Cricetulus griseus: one gene and its partners. The protein of the gene in region 1 purifies or fractionates together with the protein of each later gene. This does not show direct contact. Links are inferred from orthologs where the notes say so. Each region holds a gene or a part of one and is shown on either strand. Other genes may lie near its edges.

What was found.
Region 2: the proteins of Cd84 (region 1) and Sh2d1a purify together in Homo sapiens (affinity purification with western blotting; 4 studies listed by BioGRID and IntAct, with this or other methods). This does not show direct contact. The link is inferred for Cricetulus griseus from reciprocal best matches to the Homo sapiens genes CD84 and SH2D1A.
Region 3: the proteins of Cd84 (region 1) and Sh2d1b purify together in Homo sapiens (affinity purification with western blotting; 3 studies listed by BioGRID and IntAct, with this or other methods). This does not show direct contact. The link is inferred for Cricetulus griseus from reciprocal best matches to the Homo sapiens genes CD84 and SH2D1B.

Annotation. Positions count from the first base shown.
Region 1 is NC_048598.1:20,956,697-20,960,818, forward strand, and holds the start of Cd84 (SLAM family member 5), read right to left. Parts: upstream 2,930-4,122; coding exon 2,918-2,929; intron 1-2,917. UniProt on the Homo sapiens protein: Self-ligand receptor of the signaling lymphocytic activation molecule (SLAM) family.
Region 2 is NC_048604.1:25,494,378-25,498,029, forward strand, and holds part of Sh2d1a (SH2 domain-containing protein 1A), read right to left. Parts: intron 219-3,652; coding exon 77-218; intron 1-76.
Region 3 is NC_048598.1:22,545,429-22,549,080, reverse strand, and holds the end of Sh2d1b (SH2 domain-containing protein 1B), read left to right. Parts: intron 1-230; coding exon 231-393; intron 394-2,294; coding exon 2,295-2,332; 3' UTR 2,333-3,554; downstream 3,555-3,652. UniProt on the Homo sapiens protein: Cytoplasmic adapter regulating receptors of the signaling lymphocytic activation molecule (SLAM) family such as CD84, SLAMF1, LY9 and CD244. In SLAM signaling seems to cooperate with SH2D1A/SAP.

The DNA of each region.
Region 1 (4,122 bases):
AAACTCAATAAAGTTACAAAACCTTTCTCAGTCTATAATAGCTGTAACATTGGCCTCATCTGCTCAGTGAGCAGCAAACGATGTAATGTGAGCAGGGGAGGGGGGGCTGTGTTAAATATCAAAGTGAAACTACAGTGAATTATTCCTGGTGTTGATCATGACCAATGTACATTTTAAAGATTGCATGGCCCTTCCCTATGACTACGCAGTGATGCTGAGGCCATATTGGACCCCTACGGTGTGAGGACGTGTTGCTGTGATTGGTGTAATAAAGCTAGGCAGGAGGTATAGATGGGATTTCTGGAGAGAGAGAGGAAGAGGAGGGGGAACCTGGGCAGGCAAGACAGCCCTATAGGCCAGGGCGCTTCACCTCAGAGCACGTATCTGCTCTGTTCTCCAGCACACCTTCACCTTATGTAGGTCTTGTCTCTAACCCCTCCCACTCTAAAAGCATTGGGAGCTGGGAGAATGGAGCCTAAGAATGAGGCGGACTAAAGTCTCATGCAATAGTTAGTTAACTTTATTTAGAGCCTCAGATAATTTTTTTCTTTTCGTTTTGTTGGAGACAGGGTTTCTCTGTGTAGCTTCCGAACCTGTCCTGGAACTTGCTCTGTAGACCAGGCTGGTCTTGAACTCACAGAGACCTGCCTGCTTCTGCTGGGATTAAAGGCATGCACCACCACCACCTGGCCTCAGATCATTTTTATTCTGAGCCTTAAGCAAGATCATCATACAAGCAAAGTACACAAGTTCAAGCTATATATAATCACAAGGACAAACTGTGTCTGGATGGAGAACAACAGTAAATGCAATGGGGAATCTGAAGCAAATCCTCTCTCATTTGCTACACCTAGGAGGGGCACAAGAGTACATTCCAAGAACAATCCTGTGCTTTGGAGACTGAGATCATGGGACTCTTGTTCTGTTTTCTCACAAGCACTAATAATGCTCCTCACACAGCTTCATTCGTGGACTATGTTCCAACGCCTGACCACCAGTGTTAAAACAGCCCACTCGTGTTTTCTTTTTGTGTCAGATGACATTACTATGGTCTCAAATATGTATATTGATCTCTGTCAGTCCCCCTTCCCGAAACACTGCCTACTTTAATGCGGAGTCTTGTTTTCATCACTAATGTTTCTCCTATAACCAGTGGATGGTTTTTAAGTAGTTCTTGGGGTTGGGGGTGGGGTGGAGAATAAGCACAAATACCCTTTCTTGCTATGGGTATAATCACTGTCTCTATTTAGCAATAGAAATATGAAATAAAACAAACAACAGGAGAGGAAATCCAACAGAAAAACTAAAAACGAGGGTCAGAGAGAACTTTTCACCGGCCTTTGGGTCTTGGTCAAAGTTTAAACTGATTAATAAGAAGGGACAGTCAGCACATTGTAGCTTCCTTTACTGGGATATCTGCTTTGTTTTCAAAGAAAATCCACATAAATCTATAGAATGGGGACCTACAACATAACAACAGTGCCCTGAACTGCAGATCAAGAAACATAATCCATGCCAGGCTGTATTGCTTGTTACAACCAGTCCATTATGATCCACAGGAAGGAGAGAGACACTTATGGGTTTCAAAGGCTTTAATAAATCACCCCTTAAGTGGGGTCACTGATCAATCAGGGCTGCCGGACGAGGACTCGGGATCCTGGTTTCTCCTGACAGCACCAAGCAGGTGCACAAGCAGGGTTCATAGACACAAAAATCATAAACATTTGTTGCCAAGTTACAGATACAATTTTCACAATTAGAAGCCAAAGATTAGGGACTTTCCTTGTGTGTTCCATCAAGGTCAACTGACACAAAATGGGAGTTTCTCAGTCCAACCAATCAAATTCATTTGTTCTTTTTGTTGTTAGGAACAGCCATAATGTATTAGATAACTAAGGGACATAACAGACTATTTCTGTTACTTAAGGAGGAGGTCTGTCAGCCATTGGAAAGATCTCAGCTCCCCTAAGGCTTGGGAGCTTGAACTTCATTTTACCCTGCAGGTAAAATAGAGTCTGAAGTCAAAATGACAGTACTTCGGCCAAGGTGCTTTTGCCTGCTCCCTTCACGGCTGACTAGCTAGACATCTAAGAATGTACTGAACCAGCTAAGTTTCAGAATCCTGCCTGGGAAATGAAACTAAGCAGAGCTGTCATTTTGAGCTACTTTGAGGACTAGATTATATGACAGATCCCTCCATTTTGAGGAGAATTAAGAGACCCTCAGGAAGTCTTGTCTTGAGGAACATCCTTGGCCTGCCCCTTTCTAAGTCACTGTTGACCTGCTGTTTAAGAACATGACTTCCTGGATGTGACTGCTGGTATTATGGAATACTAGCCATCAGTCCTAGGAAAAGTTAGAACCCCTTCATGCCTCAGTTCCCTCAGTTTTACAGTGACATTAGTAATAACACTGACCTCTTAAAAGTGTCATGAGATGCTTTGCTGATGCCCATGGTAGGCCTGCCCTTTCTGAGAGACTATGGAGGAGGGGTGGAGTGAAGTGGAGGTGGGGGGCAAGTGGAGGAATGGGTGTGAGGAGAGGGGGGAAGCTGCAATGGGGATGTAAGATAAACAAATTAATGAATAAAAAAGTGTCACGAGAGCTAAAGAAGCTAATATCTGTGGGCTGGCATATCCTGACCACTGTATTGTTTCTTAAATACAAAATAAATAAGAGGCTGGAGGGATGAGTCAGTCTGTCAAGCAATTGCTTTGTAAGCACAAGGACTTAAATTTAGATCTTTAGCACACATCTGTAACTCGGGCACCATGTGGGGGGAGGGTGTTGGGGGAGAGATAGGCAGATCCCTGAAAGCTCATTGGCCAGCCAGTGTAGCTGAATCAGTGGACTCCAGGTTCAATTAGAGAACCTGTCTTAAAAAATAAGGTGTTCATGAAGGTTCCCACATATGTACCTGCATGTACATGGCACGTAATTCTCTCTCTCTCTCTCTCTCTCTCTCTCTCTCTCTCTCTCTCTCTCTCCCTCTCTCCCCCCCAAACAAACAACCTTTGTTGAAGGGATTAAAATAATACTTTATACTACTCTGAAGGAAAAAGAAAAGGTTGGGACATTGGAATGAGGAGGAAGGATATTTTGAGAGGAAGTAGGGACGGTTGAATTATTGCTTAACACTCACTGCTGCCCTTTGTTTCTTCATGGCTCTTTAAATAAGCATTGTTTGTTCTTGTTTCTTGGGGGGTGGGGCAGTAGCTAAACTATCCTTTTTTTATTCTCCATCCCAGAGTTAGCAGTGTGGCTAGAAACTCCCTCCATGTTTGAGACCTGGGAGGATGAACAGATATAGTTTGAGTATTCAACACTCAAATAAGAATCAGTTATATTAATCAAAATAACTCAAGAGATGTTGAGAGCTGTGGTGATATATTATTTATGACTTATTAACGCTTGCCTGAGGATTCAGAAGGCAAAGTCAGCCTCAAGCTATAGAGATCAGGCAGTGGTGGTACACAGTTTTAATCCCAGGACTCAGAAGACAAAGGCAGATGGATCTCTCTGAGTTCAAGGCCACCCAGGGCTACAAGAGATTGAATCAGTCTAAAAGAGTAACAGAGCTCACACCTTTAATCCCAGCACTAGAGAGGTATAAAAGATAGGACCAGGGTCTTCAGTAGTGAGTATCAGGATTCTCCAGCCATGCTGAGGAGAGCATAGCAGTCTGGGATTGCAGTCTGAGGTTTGCTGGAGACAGGATGGCCTCCCATTCTGATGTAGAGGTAAGAGCCACCTCTTAACAACAAAAAGAACAAAGCAGGGGTTGGCTGCTTTGCTTTTCTGATCTTCAGCTTGAAGCTTGAACCCCAATACCAGTCTCTGGGTCTTTTATTTATCATGCTACAGAGAGCAACGAGGAAGGAAAGGGCTGGGCAACAGAAATCCTATGTCACTCTCCATAATTATAGAAATTCTGAGTCACAATTTTGTTTGTTAGTTTAAAGGAAGCCTACAACCCTTTATAACAGTATACCATTTCCCAGATATTTTTACTTTATATAATCTTTTTTTTTTTTTAAGATTTAGGTTACTCTGAATCAATACTTTAAAAATTGAAATCAAACACAAAATCTCAAACAGAGGCAGGGACATGACCATCTGTTG
Region 2 (3,652 bases), on another chromosome or scaffold:
CTTATGTGGTCATGAATAGGTTGACCCCCTAAATCTAAGCTTCCCAAGTGTTTGAAAACTAAGCAGGTGTCCACACCTGTGGTACCTTGCGTACTCCTAGCTGAGGACTTCTCCACTGGATACTGCAGAGGTATTACAATGCCTTGATCTGGCTTCTGAAATGCTGAAATCAGATTCTTTATTTTCCGGAAAAATCTTTTGTGTACCCCAGGTGCTGTCTGGAAAATAAAAGATGAAAAAAGTATTCATTTGCCTCATGATGCTAAAAAAAAAAAGAAAGAAAAAGACCTATAACATGTGAGAGGGATGCTCAGAGAGGTAACATTTGTGTAACTTGCTCAAATATTTGAAAACATAAGGAAGAAATGAAAACAACATCCAGAAGAGCTTACTTTGCTTGGCTGAATTTCCTTGCAAGAGGAGCTAATGAGCTGTCATTGCAGTTCTCCCAAGGGTAGTACTAGTTTGTACAAGCTCTTTCTCACAGCCCTGCCCTTCCTGACTGCTACCCGTCATACATCCTGAACCTCTAAGGATGTACAGGCCATTACCCACAATGAATTCAGCAACAGAGGGGATGAAGTTAAACATAAAAAAAATGTATAGATCCTACAGGTCATTAACAAAAAAGCCTGAGAAATCAAAACAACAACCAACAACATGTCCCCCATCCTCATTTTATAATATCAAATATTACACAGGAAATTTAAAAAGTGACTGTTACGATACACACAACTGCATGGCTGGCCGATGCATATACTATTTTACGTCATAATACATACTGAATCATCCTTCATGTTAATTTTGTGTTCTTTGCCCAAATTGTTTGCATAGTCAGCCCTGCACCATGACAAGGTTTCCTCTATGACATGTAAATGAAAGACTATACAAGTTTATCTTTATTTATGTATTTGTTCATTTTTAAAGAGATCAAATTTGCAGGTGGCTGTTAAGAATGTATTCTTTCCTTGACATCTGTGCTCTCACAAGGACACTGCCTGAAATCAACATTCCCCACAAAGCTTATGAGCTGTGCTTTAGGCACCCGCTCAAAACTGTCATTTTACAGAAAATAAAATAGTATTGCTACGAGCAATTGAACAATGACTAGTTTTGCTTCTTTCTAGTTTTTTTTTTTTTAGAAAGTTGTTTTTCAGCTATTCCATCTGGAAGATTTTTGAGATGGGAACTGCTTGGTTTTTAGCATTTAAGGAGAAAATATGAGGCTGGCACACAGACTTCTGTCAACTGGACTTTAAACTCGAGATAACTGACTATCCAAAGTTACTCTTGGTCATTGCCTACTTTGGAGTGAGTAGGGAGTTTTCCAATATAAACACATGGTAGATGTTCTCTTTAGCTGTAATTTAGTGTTCATCTATCCAGTGTCAACGGACAGAAAATGGTCTCCTACCCATCCCTATTCTTATGATCAGAAGACCTAATTTTCTGCTGAGGCTTCATCTAAAAATAACATGGCCATTCTCGCAGAGACCCAAATAACTCTTTGGCTTCAAGACAGAGGCTGCAAATTACAAAGGCGTGCAAATGGCTACAAAATACCTCCTTACTTCTTCCTTAGGGCATTTTTTGATTTTTCAAAACACTTTCCCATCTCTTGCGTTCACTATTTCCTCGTGAATTGGAAGATATTGATTCTTCCAATTATTCTCATTTCACAGATATAAACATGTAACCTAATCATCTTGCATTGAAGTAAATTAATAAGCAGGTTGAGGTCACACATAAATCAGAAGCAGCAGAATTGTCTCTGCATTCCTTTCAGATTAAGACTAGACCAAGTAGTTTCGAGTGAAGCTGAGGTCACCTGCCAGAAGAGAGACTGCATATTTCCCCAGAGGGGAATCATTTGAAACCACACTTCATTTAGGCTGTTTCTTGTGGCTTATACATGTATTTTCAACAAAGGCATCATTTCTATGGAGACTGATAGTTAACACTTGATTATCAATGCTGACAGAGAAGACAATTACCACTGGACATAGAGAAGTAATTTGAACTTGAGATGCAGCATTTCTTTAGCAAATGACTGACCTAATTTATGATGCTTTGCTTAGGCTAATAAGTAATTCACTTACTAGCTAAGAATCTCCTGGTGACCAACTACCCAGAAAAGCCCAAAAGCACAGAAATTGGCAGAGAGGGAGAGAACAGTACACTTTTGACAATGAATTGCTGACAATCTATACTTAATAAATGATAATCAACAATTCATCATAACTTTAGCCTCCAGGAACTAAGTTAATGTCCTCAGTAATGTTCTACTTAAAATGAAATTTTCTGAATATTTTCTTTCATAATCCAATAGATTCAAAGTTCAATTTAATATCACATCTCTAAAACATGTCTTAAACTTACCTAAGGACAGAGGCTAGAATGTTCCTGACATGACCTTTTCTTATGGTATGTCAAACTAAAATGCTTTTCCTGAAAGTAGTACATAAGCCACTTACCACATTTTGGAAAGACATTTATCACACACACAAAAAAGCATCATGGCTACTATCCTGTCAGTGAATTCAGTTCTTGTTCAAATTTGAGCATTTCCCATACTGCCATCACTTAATTATCCATGGAAACACGTTTTGAATCACAGCTGATCTTCAGTACACTCTGGAGAACTTTCTTCCAGCCAGGTGATTTGAGCTCTGAGAATTGTGCACTACTTTAATATTCACCTTAACAAGAAGGCAAATTTTGTAGACAGAAAAAATGCAATATGCATTTCATGAAACAAAGATGTTTTTACCTATTTCCCATTTGGGGATAACCCAAGACAATCTTCTGCTCTCATGGTGCAAATAATTACAATATTATTATATAAGGAGGGTCAAATCAGATAATAGGATAAGGAATATTTATGCTCAATAGACCCTCCTCTGAAAATGTTTACAAATATGTAATGATGTGCTATGATGTTACATGCGAAATGGAAGAAAATGAATTATAAAATGTGTCTAAGAATCCATATCACATCCCTTCCTCCCAAGGCTCAAGGATCATTGAGGAAGAGAAGTGAAAAGAGTATAAAGCAGTGGAAAATTACAAGGAAACAATGTATTCCAGACACAGCAGGACAGCTTCACATATGAACTCACAGTGGTTATGTCAACACGCACAAGACCTGTGCAACCTAAGCCAGATCAAATCCAAGCATGAAGAGAGGAGGTGTGTACAAATTCCCACTTCTGGCAAGGAGCTGCTGGCAATTGATAGCTACCAGGAGAAGAAAAGCCAACTTTCTTTAAAAGAATAGCCCCTGGTAAATCAATCATGCTTCTGAGGAAGGCCACACATCCAAGAATATTTGGACAGCACAAATTGAGAAGACAGATTTATCAAAACAAAGAGTACACAAAATTTCCTGGATTGGGAGAGAGGAACAGATCTTGGAGGACAAGGGTAAATAAGATCAAAACATATTATACAAAATTCTCAAAGAACTAATTTTTTAAATCGCAAAAATATCAAAGATTTTTTCCATAAAAATATTTGTATTGCTCAGCTGAAGGGTATTGTTTGAGGGAAGAGGATTATTTGTGACCAACCCATACATAAATTTACATATATCAGGTACATACAACTCTTCTTCACAATAAATCAAATTGCTTATTTATTTGCAGTGACAGAT
Region 3 (3,652 bases), about 1.6 Mb from region 1:
AGTGACTGGGGAACTTTTAAGTAAAAGCCCCCTTTATACAGAGTTGTTTGGGCACAAGGTTCCTCTTCAGAATGAGGAACCTCTATGAAATGCTGTTGGTAAGAGCCCTAGGCCTGAGCTGCTAGCGTCTTACTTTTCGCTTGTCTCTCGGGCAGCCCTCAAAACCACTGTTGCAAGAAGTGTCACATTTTAACCACAGCTGCGCAGTGACCTTTCTTATGTCTTTGCAGACTGTGGAAGGTGCTCCAAAACAGATCTTTCCGAACCTAGAAGAATTAGTCTCCAAGTATGAAAAGCCAGGTCAAGGTCTGGTGATTCACCTTTCAAACCCAATGATGAGAAGCGGCTTCTGCCCAAGAGGGAGAAGGATGAAGTTAGAGATGAATGTTTATGGTAAGAGCCCTGACAAAGGGTCAGGAGGGACCCCGAAGCCTGCGTCCAGCTCTACTCTGTAGAGTTGATGGAAATTGCTGACTTGGTCTAGGACATTAAAGAGCTTCATCTTGCTAAGTGCAATTTCTACTGTACTGAGAAACAATATCTCCTAGCCCCTGCAAGTGGCCAAGACATAGAGTTGTCTGTGCTAGGACAACCAGGAAGGCAAGGAAAGGTCCTGACCAAAAAGCTGACTTGGGTTTCATTCTGTGGGCATGCGCAGTCCACCATGGTAATAAATGCACATGTGGGCAGGTTTTCACTGAAAAGACTCATGTCAAATCACCCACCAAGGCTTATCCTATTACATTTTGTTCAATCTTTGCTAAGCATTCATTTATAAAATGATCAGGGACAAATTATTTCATATATATATATATCCCTAAAGGTATGAAGCCACCGAGACACGGCGGGGTGGGGTGGGGGTGGGGGTCAGCACGTGTGAGGAAAGTCTGTTCACAGCACTCTCAGATCATATTTCGAGCTTACCCTCATCTTCATCATCTGCCCATTGCGGCAAATTTTGAATTAAACACAGACATGCAGAGACGTTTCTGGTCCCACCCAATCGCTCATGATGAAATGTGTGGTTTCATTTTGTGTGAGAGGGATTGCAGTTGTCTGTGGGTGGCAATGGTGATGACAGCAGATCTACTAACTAGGGAGAAAGATGAGAGGGCACGAGCTCTCAGGGAGCCTGCCAGCATCCATGCTATTCTGCCTGAGCAAAGTCCCTTTTTTCGGCTGCCGTGGTAAGCTTCTCATTTCTCTAAAAAGATAAAGCGTGAGATTTTAATGACTAAAATAAAACCTTGCCCCCCTAACATTACTTCCAGCCATTCATCATCATTCAGGGGATTGTGTGGACAATACAATCTGATAATTTCGTTTAAGTCCAGCCACAGATATAGCCGCACTGCTCTTTTCCATCAAAACTTACAGAATTAGGAAGTCTGAAAGGGCTGGAGAAATAGCCCGGTTGGTAAAGTGCTTGCCTTGCTTGTGTGAGGCCCTAAGTTGGATCCCTAGAAATGATGGCTTTGAAAATCTGTACAACGTGGCACATGCTTGTAATCTCAGTGCTGAAGAAACAGACACAGGTAGATCCATGGGGCTTCCTGACCATCACACCTGGTGAGCTCCAAGCCAGAGGAAGACCTTGTTTCAAAAAATAGAGTAGATGGAGCCTGAAGAACAACATGTCAGGCTAACCTCTGACCACACACAGGCACCCTTGTGTAGATACACCTGCATACATACCTATATACATGCATGCACACACACACACCCAAAGGTATTAAGGGGAAGAAAGCATAAAGGTGTCAAAGCCAGACACTTGTGCAAATCAAGATGAGTTGCTGGGAGTGGCTGGGATGGTAATACTTTTGTCTGAGGTATAATGAAAGGCTACTAAATCCCTGGAAGAGAATGGGCTTGGGAGAGGTCTTTCCCAAGAACTGGACATGGGTCTGGCCACACCAATTTTCCAAGCATAGTCAGACTTGGTAGAGTGTGCTCCACGTACTTAGCTACCAAAGGGGAAATGCCTTCCCTTCCTCTTGCCTCCTCAGAACCAGCTCCATGCAGAGCTACTCTGACGAAGGCATGGGATTTTCACTGGTGAAGGTAGACACTGAGTACTAGAAACTAAGGATCCACTTATCAAAAAGCAAAAACAAACAAAAAACAAACAAACCCTATTTGTCCAAGCAAGTCCCTAGTGCCACTGCAGCCTTTGAAGATGTCTCTTTGATGTGGCATCAGCACTGCTTTGTGCCTGGTGTCCTTTTCCTCGAGTTGGGATGGCTGGTGGGACTTCTGGGTGTGGCATCTCATGGCTGTCCTTTGCTTTTCCCCAGAGAACACTAACGAGGACTATGTGGATATCTTGCCTTGAAGACAAGGACATAGGACAAAACAAGCTAAGGGAGGGCTGAGATGGCAGAGCTCTCAGCGGCCACCACCTCTGCAAGTGTCTATCTAAAATGCCAACTTCTAGAGGGCCTCTGAGACCCTCCTGACCTGGGTAGCAGGATCTTCTCAACTGAAGCCTTGGAGAAGTCCCTTCCCACATGTCTGACTCCTGGCACACTCACAAGAAGCTCCAAAGCCACCGTCACCTGTTACTCTCCTATCTTGGAATTGGACAGCCGGAATCCAGGCATTGCCATTGCATCCTGGCTGACAACATCTAACAGGACAAAGGGAAGGGCAGCTTCATAGAAAGGAAACAATACTCTGTAGTAACTTCAGAGTCCCCAACCTGTGTTCTGTGACTTTTGGCAAACCGCCCTCTCTGGTGTGGTTGAGTGGTTCACACACACTAACCTGGACCCTCTGTTGAGCCTGGTTGTCCCAGGTGGAGCTGGCGTCTGAGCAGAGGAATCAAGGTCTAAGGATGCTGAAGAAGCAAACATGTCCTCCAGCTGTGGAGGTCTTGGTCCTGATGAGGGCTGTGACCCACCAATGTTCCCTTTCCCTCTCGTTTGACCTAGCCCCATCTCTTCAAAGGTTGACTTCCTGCCAGGCATTCCTCTGGCCTCGGTTTTTCCTGATTTTCCCCAAGTCTGTATATACAGCAATCACTTTGTCAGCTCTGCCTTTTGATAAATGTGATAATAATATTTATTTTATTATTATTTTTTATTAGCATACAGAGAAATGGGTTTTATTCTGACCTTTTTATATCTATAAATCATTACACTTTGGGGGTCTTTTTTTTTGTTTTTGTTTCTTTTTTTTTTTTTGAGACAGAATCTGAGTCTAGCCCAAGTTAACCTCAAACTCTAACTTTATGCCTCAGCCTCCTATGTGCTGGGGTTACAGGTGCATGCGATCTCTGTGACCAATATGCTCTTCTTTCTTGACCTTCCCCTGTACTGCCCCATCCTTTGCACCTTGCCGTGACACTCCTATCCCCAAAGAGACCGCCTTCTGCCTATATTTCATTGCCTTCCTTCCACTTTAGACCTCTTGCTCCTGTCTCATAGTCCGGGTTTCTGAATTTTCATGTCCTCCATACATATGTATTTATACATATAAATTTAAATCTGGATCTTACATATGAGAAAAATGTGGTTTGTCCTTCTGAATCTAATAAACTTCACGCAACAAAATGATCTTCGGGTCTGTCCATGTTTTCTTGTGTGAGAATGCTGGAAGTTCATTGTTCTAATTCCATTGCGCATGTGTACCAATGTGTGGCTGTTTTAAAGAT